Danio rerio: one gene and its partner. The protein of the gene in region 1 interacts with the protein of each later gene in a biochemical or structural test. Links are inferred from orthologs where the notes say so. Each region holds a gene or a part of one and is shown on either strand. Other genes may lie near its edges.

Evidence for each region.
Region 2: the proteins of upf2 (region 1) and upf3a form a complex in vitro, tested with the Homo sapiens proteins (2 studies listed by IntAct, with this or other methods). The link is inferred for Danio rerio from reciprocal best matches to the Homo sapiens genes UPF2 and UPF3A.

The regions. Positions count from the first base shown.
Region 1 is NC_133179.1:1,384,243-1,388,752, reverse strand, and holds the start of upf2 (regulator of nonsense transcripts 2), read left to right. Parts: upstream 1-1,424; 5' UTR 1,425-1,502; coding exon 1,503-1,507; exon of another isoform or gene 1,508-1,762; intron 1,763-1,855; exon of another isoform or gene 1,856-1,993; intron 1,994-4,510. UniProt on the Homo sapiens protein: Involved in nonsense-mediated decay (NMD) of mRNAs containing premature stop codons by associating with the nuclear exon junction complex (EJC).
Region 2 is NC_133184.1:36,604,423-36,609,001, reverse strand, and holds the start of upf3a (regulator of nonsense transcripts 3A), read left to right. Parts: upstream 1-1,650; 5' UTR 1,651-1,693; coding exon 1,694-1,825; intron 1,826-3,888; coding exon 3,889-3,995; intron 3,996-4,089; coding exon 4,090-4,196; intron 4,197-4,336; coding exon 4,337-4,435; intron 4,436-4,579. UniProt on the Homo sapiens protein: Involved in nonsense-mediated decay (NMD) of mRNAs containing premature stop codons by associating with the nuclear exon junction complex (EJC) and serving as link between the EJC core and NMD machinery.

The DNA of each region.
Region 1 (4,510 bases):
ACAACTATAGTCAATATTATGTTTTGCTGATTCTATAGTCGCTATGGTAACAGAACAACTATGGTAATTAATATGTTGTGGTGATTCTACAGTTGCTATGGTAACACAACTAATGTCAATATCTTGTGTTGGTTCTACAGTTGCTATGGTAACACATTTGACATGCTACGACGAAGTGCTATGCAGGTAAACCTCACTCCTCTGTCCTCAAAAGGTGCTCTAGCGACAGACGCTAGAGGCCAGCATCTTTAGCCTCCTTGTTAGAGCAACCGACTCTAATACAAGGAATCAACAGTTCGATCTCAGCTCAGACCAGGTGGGTGCAGTAGGATCGGTGGGTTACATGTGGGGGCTCGTCTGGGATGGGAGTGAGGTTTAGAGGTGTGAGTGTGACAGGCCAGCTAGCGAAATGCTATGCAGGTAAACTTCACTGCTCTGACCTCTGTAACCGGTGGGTTACACAATAACTATAGTTATTAATATATTGTGGTGATTTTATAGTTGCTATGGTAACGCAACAACTAGTAATATAAACAAACAACCCAATACTGTAGTTTTCCACAACTAGAATATATACTCCAACACACCACTGTTCACAGTAGTAAAATTGAAGGTATACTACAGCATTTATTATCAGTTCACTATAGTTAATGCTGCAGTATGCTGGAGCATTCATTAAGAGTTGTAGATACTATAATATATACAGTATAATACACTCTACTGTAGTGGCCTATGGTACAAAAACACTGCAGTGTTGTGTAATGTTTCAATAGCGCCATCTGCAGGCCACAAATATGATAACAGCTAAAGTATTGATCTATAAAATACGATTATTACATACACAACTATGACAAAATATAGGGGACATGACTGACCACTGAATAATTCTGCGTTTTTCTGGATGTGCTATATCTATTTTTGAGTAAAATTTGTTAATTGTATGTTTGTAAATGTATGTTTTTCTTTTTTAAAGGTCTGAAAACGTGTATTATTAATTTCAAATAAATAACATTGTCAGTTAAATATAGTTTCTTTTCCCAGAGAATTGCAATCAGGGTTATCGCACCAAATAAAATGAAATATTGAGTTCTTAACTGTTTTGGAGTTAAAACATCAGTAGCTTGCTGTTTAAAGATGAATATAAACGTCTATAAAGTTACATGATTTGGTCATTTTGACTAATGGTCTTTATAATGTAACGTATTTAACAGCATTTTATATATTTGGGAAAAATCAATAATACTTATCAATATAACTACAGAATATCTGAAAGCTTGCTCTTTACTTACCGTAACAGTATAAAATGAACTTGACAGTCATGAGGGTTTGCATATTAGTTTATTTATTAGTATGTGTTTATCTGAGTTTATTATTGTTTCATCTGGTGGGCGAGTAATATTTTGATCAGGCACGTTTGGGGCTCCACATTCAGGGGTCCTCATATCGAAAAGTATCAACCGCCGTCATTTACAGTTTAAACTTATGAATATTAGAACAAACACATGAGGTAAGCTCGATATTTGATATTAAACACATCTGTTTTTACATGAGTTGCAGAAAAGTATTCTGTTTAAGTCATTTCTGCTGTTCACGCGACAAGCGTGCTCATGCTTAATTTACGAGCGGACTTACGGGAGCTAACGGCTAAAGCTAATCCAAACACTCGGTTAAAACATCAAATCGCTACGGTAAAATGGTTAGAATTGGGCTTTAAATGAGCTGCTTATCAGCAAGTGACTTTCTATTGAGATGTCAGAGGCAGGTAATGTAAATATTGTTTGTTTTTGTGGGTTTTATTATGCAGCTGTTGCTGTTTGTTTTCATGTCGTGGGTTGGTCTGTTTGTTTGTTGATAGGCGTTATTATATCACACACTGCGCACGGCATCCGCAGCTGAGATCAAGAGGTGCATGAGTTCATTTCTATGAATTTTGCACTCTGAAAGAACTGAAATCCTGGATGTGAGCCGTTGATGTTTCTGATATACCCTCAAGGTATTCAGTTCTGCTCATGAAAATGCATCTTCATGAGGAGTTTAGTGTTCGTGCGTCATTATCTGATCTCACTCACACCTAAAGCCTGATATTGAGGTACAGTTGGTTATACGTTACCACATTTAGACTTTCTCAACATAATTTCAGAAAATGCTAAATAGGGAAATCATATTAGTAGACAATGTACATTGTTCCCAGTCAATATGCAAGTCATACTTGCATGTTATTTTTGACCCAATTTTCAAAGTAGTGTGGTAAACCTTATACAGATCATGTCACAAGTTGTCACTGTTCAAAAATAAACAAATGTGCGAATATTAAAACAGCTCAATCCTGATGTTGAAGTAAAGTTTGTTTTATATTTGCTCCTTTGGACTTTCTCCCTATTAATAAGAGTTAAAGTACTAGTAAAATATCTCCTTGATGTGTCAGAAGTATTCTTTGCTAATTCTAAATCACGCAGCATCCCCAGCTGAGTTAAAGGTACCTGAGTTTGTTTTGTGTTAGTTTTGCGTGCTGGAAGAACTGAAAGCAGCAGTTCTCCTGAATATGAGCTGTTGATGTTCTTGAAGTAACCAGAAGGTGTTCATTTCTGCTCATGAACAGGCATCTTCATGCAGAGTTTAGTGTTAATGCGTGATTATATAATTTTACACACGCCTGAAGCTTGATATTAAGGTAAAGTTAGTTTTACATTCCCACATTAGGAGTTTCTCTTTGATATAATTCCAGAAAAGTATTCTTATCAGTCAATGCCTGTAAAAGTACAGCATTGTTCACTGTTGATTAAATAGTGCTAAAGTTGTTTTGAACTCATACTTGCATTGTATTTCAGCCTGAATATCTAAAAGTAACTTGGTAAACAATACTGAGATCATGTCACAAGTTTTCACTGTTCCAAAATGAACGAATGTGCGAATATGAAAACAGCTCCATCCTGATGCTGAAGTAAAGTTGGTTTTATATTCTCACATGTGGACTTTCTCCTTAATGATGTGTTAAAGTTGTAGTAAAATATCTCTTTAATATGAAAAAATTATTCTTTGCTAAATCTAAATCAGGAAATCATATTACAGCCAATGCTTATCAAAGTACAGCATTGTTCACAGTCAGTTAAATAGTGCTGATGTTGTTTTGAACTCATACTTAATTTGAAGAGGGAATAGTTCTTAACCCGTGTGTGTGTGTGTGTGTGTGTGTGTGTGTGTATATATATATATATATATATATATATATATATATATATATATATATATATATATATATAAACATATTGTATTATATGGTGTTACTGATCATCATGTTTTCTTTTACGAAATAAAATGCACAGAATACAACAGACAAATACAACATCCCATAATGCACAGTGACTGACATTCACTGTGACTTATTGTATCATAAACACTATTTTCATTGCAAAACTAAATGAAACATGCACAGTAATTTTAAGTGTGATTTTTAAATAGAAATGTTGATTAGCATGAAAATATAAAAGAAAGCTACGTGAACTGGTTTTCAGTGTAAAATCATAAGCAATCTGTCCTTTGCAAAACTCGAATCTCAAAATTATAAGTGCAAAATATTTACATACATACATATATATATATATTTATATATATATATAAATTGTGTATATTGTATACAGAATAGTCGTTTTAAATGCACAATTTGAGTAAAAGTGTCAGCTATATTAAAAGCATGCTTTTGTTTTTACATTGCAAAATATATTAGTGCATTTTATTTAATGCTATTTATTTATAGGCACAATTCAAGGCACTCAAAGACACTTTACAGTATTGAACAAAGCATTTGATACAAGTAAACCATTATTTGATGCATTATTTTAATGCAGATTAGATTTTTGAATTAAAACACAGTTGAATGTTTTGTTTACAATATATTTTAATACACTTTATTTTAAAGTGCAAAATGTTTAGTAAAAATGGATGCACAAGACAGCATTAAACTCTGCATTTCAACATGTGATTTTTAAAAATGTGTAAAATGTACCTTGCAATGCAAAACAGTATGTTGTGCACAATATAATTAACGGAATTTTATTTAATGTGAACTCATTTCAGTTGTTTAAAGTGTTCTACGTTGTTTTTTATTTTGTACTTATTGAATGTTACCAAACTCTTCATTTCAAATAACATATTGACTAAAAATATAACATATTAATGTGTTCCCTTACTGGTAACTTTAATATATCTGAAAGGTTTTGTGATTCAAGATGATATGACCTGTTTTTTTTTTTGTTTGTTTGTTTGTTTTTTGTATTTAGATGCACCTCTTGGATATTTCTTTGTTTAGATGTTGTTAAGCCTCTCATGTTAAATGATAATATATGGACTGAACAAATAAGGTGCACTCTGTTTTCTCACTGTTAACTCAGAAAGTCTGGAACAATATATTTTTTATTTTCATGTTTTTTTTTTTAATGCCCTGGTTGTGCTAGGAGAGGCGAAATGTACTGCTTTAAATTGTAAATGGTAAAACTCAATTAGTAAATATTTA
Region 2 (4,579 bases), on another chromosome or scaffold:
CACTTGAATACATTTTCAGATAAATGAATAAGGCATATATGCATGCTTCTGCATGATGCATGCGTGGATTGTTATTTTGCAGATAAATATATCTGTGGACTGGACAGATGTATGGTAGACACAGGTTGGGGGAAGTTAACAGTTATTATTAGATTTCAGTGTTTGCCGTTAATAGATACATCTTTCATTTTATAAACATCACTGGCCTTTAAATGATTCAAATAAAAATATTATCACATACAGCGTTTATTTGCAGAAAATAACTACAGGTTGATATAAAATGTCAGACCTTCGTATTAAAGGGAAAATTCATTCATTAGTTTTATTTTCAGCTTAGTGCCTTTGTTAATCTAGGGTCGCCACAGCGGAATCAATCAACCGCCAACTTATCCAACATATGTTTTATGCAGTGGATACCCTCCCAGCTGCAACCCAACACTGGAAAACATCCATACACACTCATTCACGCACAAACACTATGAACAATTCAGCTTACCAAATTCACCTGTACTGCATGTTTTTGGACTTGTAGGCAAAACCGAAGCACCCGTGAACACGGGGAGAACATGCAAACTCCACACAGAAATGCAAATTGACTTAGCCAAGGCCCGTATCAGTGACCTTTTTGCTGTGAGGCGATTGTGCTACCCACTGCGCCACTGTGACGCCCTAAAGGGGAAATGTATGCATATATATGTAAAATAAATAAATACTTAAGGTCTGAAAACTTTTTTCAGTATGTTGTAGCTGTATTTTAGATAAATAAACTGGTACTTTAGCAATAAGACAGGTGGGTGAGTAAAAACTTGCAGACAAATAAATGGCTGGATATCTATTTAGACTAGCCTGTTTATTAAATCAGATCAGATACTTCTGTATTTTGTTGGACACCTGATAGATACATTGGAATGCTTTTGCATTTGCTATGGGTGGTCTAATACTTTATATAAATGTACTGTGATTTATATACTTTTTACTTTTTTAGGTGAATAGATGGATATAGGCTACATCTGTTTAAATAAATAGATATGTGGATAATACTAAAGTCCCTTTATTCTGTAGTCTTTGATAATACTTTGCAAATGATACTTTTGCTGACCTCCTAATTAGAGTCATATATTTACTGATAGTTCAATGGATAGAGAAATAAATGGATGTAGTTACGTTTGCAGACAGCTTGTGGTGTCGTGTTTTCTGCAGTTCCTGGTCGGGATGGTTACGGGCGCTCCGTGAGTCAGCCCAGCAGCCCGGACATATGGAGCACATCGAGCATCGGGAGCCCGTTCGGTCCCGTTCAACCGAGCTGCACCGACAGCGAATATGAGGACACAAACGGCAGCAAACGATGACAGTTATGGCTGCTGTTTTTATAACTCGCCCACAACGATGAAATGAAGAGAACATACGGGAAAGTTCAATATTGTAATGTTTAACAACATCAGTCCCCTGTGCTTTATCTATTTTCTTTTGTATAAAAACACTAACCACATACATAGTGGCCAAATAACCATATAATATTCAGAGTGTGTACTTATTTTTTGTTAGCACTGCTCCATACGTTTGTTGTTTCTTCGTTTTAATGTTTAACGAATCCTGACAAGAAGATAATAAACACAGCGCAAGCCTCGCGTTATTTTGAGAATTCCCGCGAGAGTTAGCGGATTTCGGACAGCGAAGAGGGCGAAATGGAGATATGAGGTCTGAAAAGGAGCAGAGGACAGGCAGCAGGGAGAGAGGAAGCGTCGAAATCCAGTTCAGGGACTGTCAGGACAACGCCGCTGTGAACCCCAAGCACAAGGAGGAGAAAAAGGAGATCTTCAGCAAGGTAAGGTGGCGCAGTTCTGTGGGCTGGGAGAGTATGGTGATGATGATGATGATGATGGAGGAGGGAATGGGATTCAGCACCACAGACAGCGAAACCACAGGACTGCCAAATACACACGAACATCCTGGTGCTATCATTCATAATAAACACAAACACACTCCTACACTCAATCAGTTAACACTGAATGGGTTTAATCTAGGGATTGATTAAACATGTTATGAAAGTAGCATGTAGCCATGGTGCAATGTGGTAAAATAGACGTTTTTAAGATTAACCTATTGAGCTTGTGCGTGTGTGAATGAGTAATTCTACAATTATTCTTTATTTTTATGTAAGGATTTGTTTTGTAGAACGCTTTTGCAGAATTTTAATAATGTTCTGGTTGTTTTATGTCTATTGCAGATGATGATTAAATGAATTTTATTAATCAATAGCAGGGCCTATATGAACACTCGTCAAGATGAACATGCTATATATATATATATATATATATATATATATATATATATATATATATATATATATATATATATATATATATATATATATGGTAAAAATAGATGGGTTAGTCCATTTATTAATCTAAATTCTTTGGAACACTAATTAGGTTTGTAACACAAAATAAGTGACTCCCACCATACATAGGAAGTGAGTTTCTTCTGCATGTTATTTTATCAACATCACAACTCCACAATATCTATTAAATGAAAAAACACGAAAATTAATGTAATAATAGTAATTACTTGTATGTACTTTTTAATTTAATCGAAGTGAGTCTGACTTAAATAATTTTATAACAAACAACAACAGTCCATTTCTCAGTGTATGTGTTTTTAACATAATGTAATGTGGTATGGCTGAATAATCAAACAGTATTTTAATATTATTATTATAATTATTATTATTTAATTTTTTTCCATTAGTTGTGAGCTGTAGACCTCTTGGTCAGGTCACCCTTGTAAATGAGATTTCGATTTCAATGGTTTTGTTTACCTGGTTAAAAAAAGAATATATATATATATATATATTATATATATATATATATATATATATATATATATATATATATATATATATATATATATATATATATAAACCCCTGTTTATTTTTCCCCCAATTTCTGTTTAACGGAGATCTGATTTTTTTTTCAACACATTTTTAAACATAATAGTTTTAATAACTAATTTCTAATCACTGATTTATTTTATCTTTGCCATGATGAGAGTAAATAATATTTGACTAGATATTTTTCAAGACACTTCTATACAGCTTAAAGTGACATTTAAAGGCTTAACTAGGTTAATTAGGTTAACTAGGCAAGTTAGGGTAATTGGGCAAGTCATTGTTTAATGATAGTTTGTTCTGTAGACTATCGAAAGAATAATATGGCTTCAAGGGGCTAATCATTTTGACCTTAAAATGGTTTTAAAAAAATTTTAAACTGCTTTTGTTGTAGCCGAAATAAAACAAAACTTTCTCCAAAAGAAAAAATATTATCAGACATACTATAAAAATTTCCTTGCTCTGTTAAAAATCATTTGAGAAATATTTAAAAAAGAAAATGAAATTCAAAGGGGGGCTAATAATTTTGACTTCAACTGTATATGCTATACTTAGTTTACTATATACTTAGTTTGTATTCCGAGAGAGCTTTTGAAGGTCAGTAGGCCTACATAAAATGAATAAAATGTAAAAAGTTTTTACACTCACAAAAAATTCTTACATGCCTGTCTGTTTTTTAATAACTAATAAGGTTTCAGTGATATTTTCATATCTGAACAAGAATATTTTTGTTTTTATCTTAAAAATTTGATAATTTTATTTTTAAAAAGTGGTCAGTTTTGTAAACCAGAAATATTATAATTATTTGTTACATATGTCCTGTTGTTAAATAAAATAATAATAATAATAATAATAATAATGCATTATTATTATTACCATATTATCATTATGAAATACTTTATAGTTCATTGATAATATAGTAATATTTCTTCATTTTTTAATAACTTGAATAAGCTTGTTTTCAGTATTATCAGACTTCTTTTATTCTTCTTTTATATAGGTTGTCATCCGCCGACTGCCACCCAGTCTATCAAAAGACCAGCTCCAGGAGCATCTGAGTCCTCTTCCATCTTTTGACTATTTTGAGTTCTTTCCTGCTGATCAGAGGTATGTCCACTTTGTTTATATAGAAATACTATGATCATGAGTGCTGTCAGTGTAATTTACATGTGCATATTTGATATATTTTTATTCTCCCCAGCTTATACCCTCATCTCTTCTCAAGAGCATACATAAACTTCAAAAACCCAGAGGATATCATAATATTCAGAGATCGCTTTGATGGCTATGTATTTATTGACAATAAAGGTGATTTGCTTTCTGCTTTTTTTCTATGTATCCTCATTGAATCTAATATTTTCTGACTATAACTTTAGGATATTTACTTTTTATTATGACATATGATATAATAGATTAGTATAACATTTATTTTACTTCTGTTTATTTAGGTCAAGAATATCCAGCTGTTGTAGAATTTGCCCCATTTCAGAAGGTTTCCAAGAAAAAGCTAAAGAAGAAAGATGCGAAAGCTGGGACCATTGAAGAAGGCATCTTAAAAAAGATTTCTTAATATTTATAATTTTGAAGTATTCAAGAATTGACGTCATTGTGTAAATTACAGTTGATGTCAGAATTAACAACCCCCTTCAAATTTTTTTCTTCTTTTTGAAATATTTTCCAAATTATGTTTA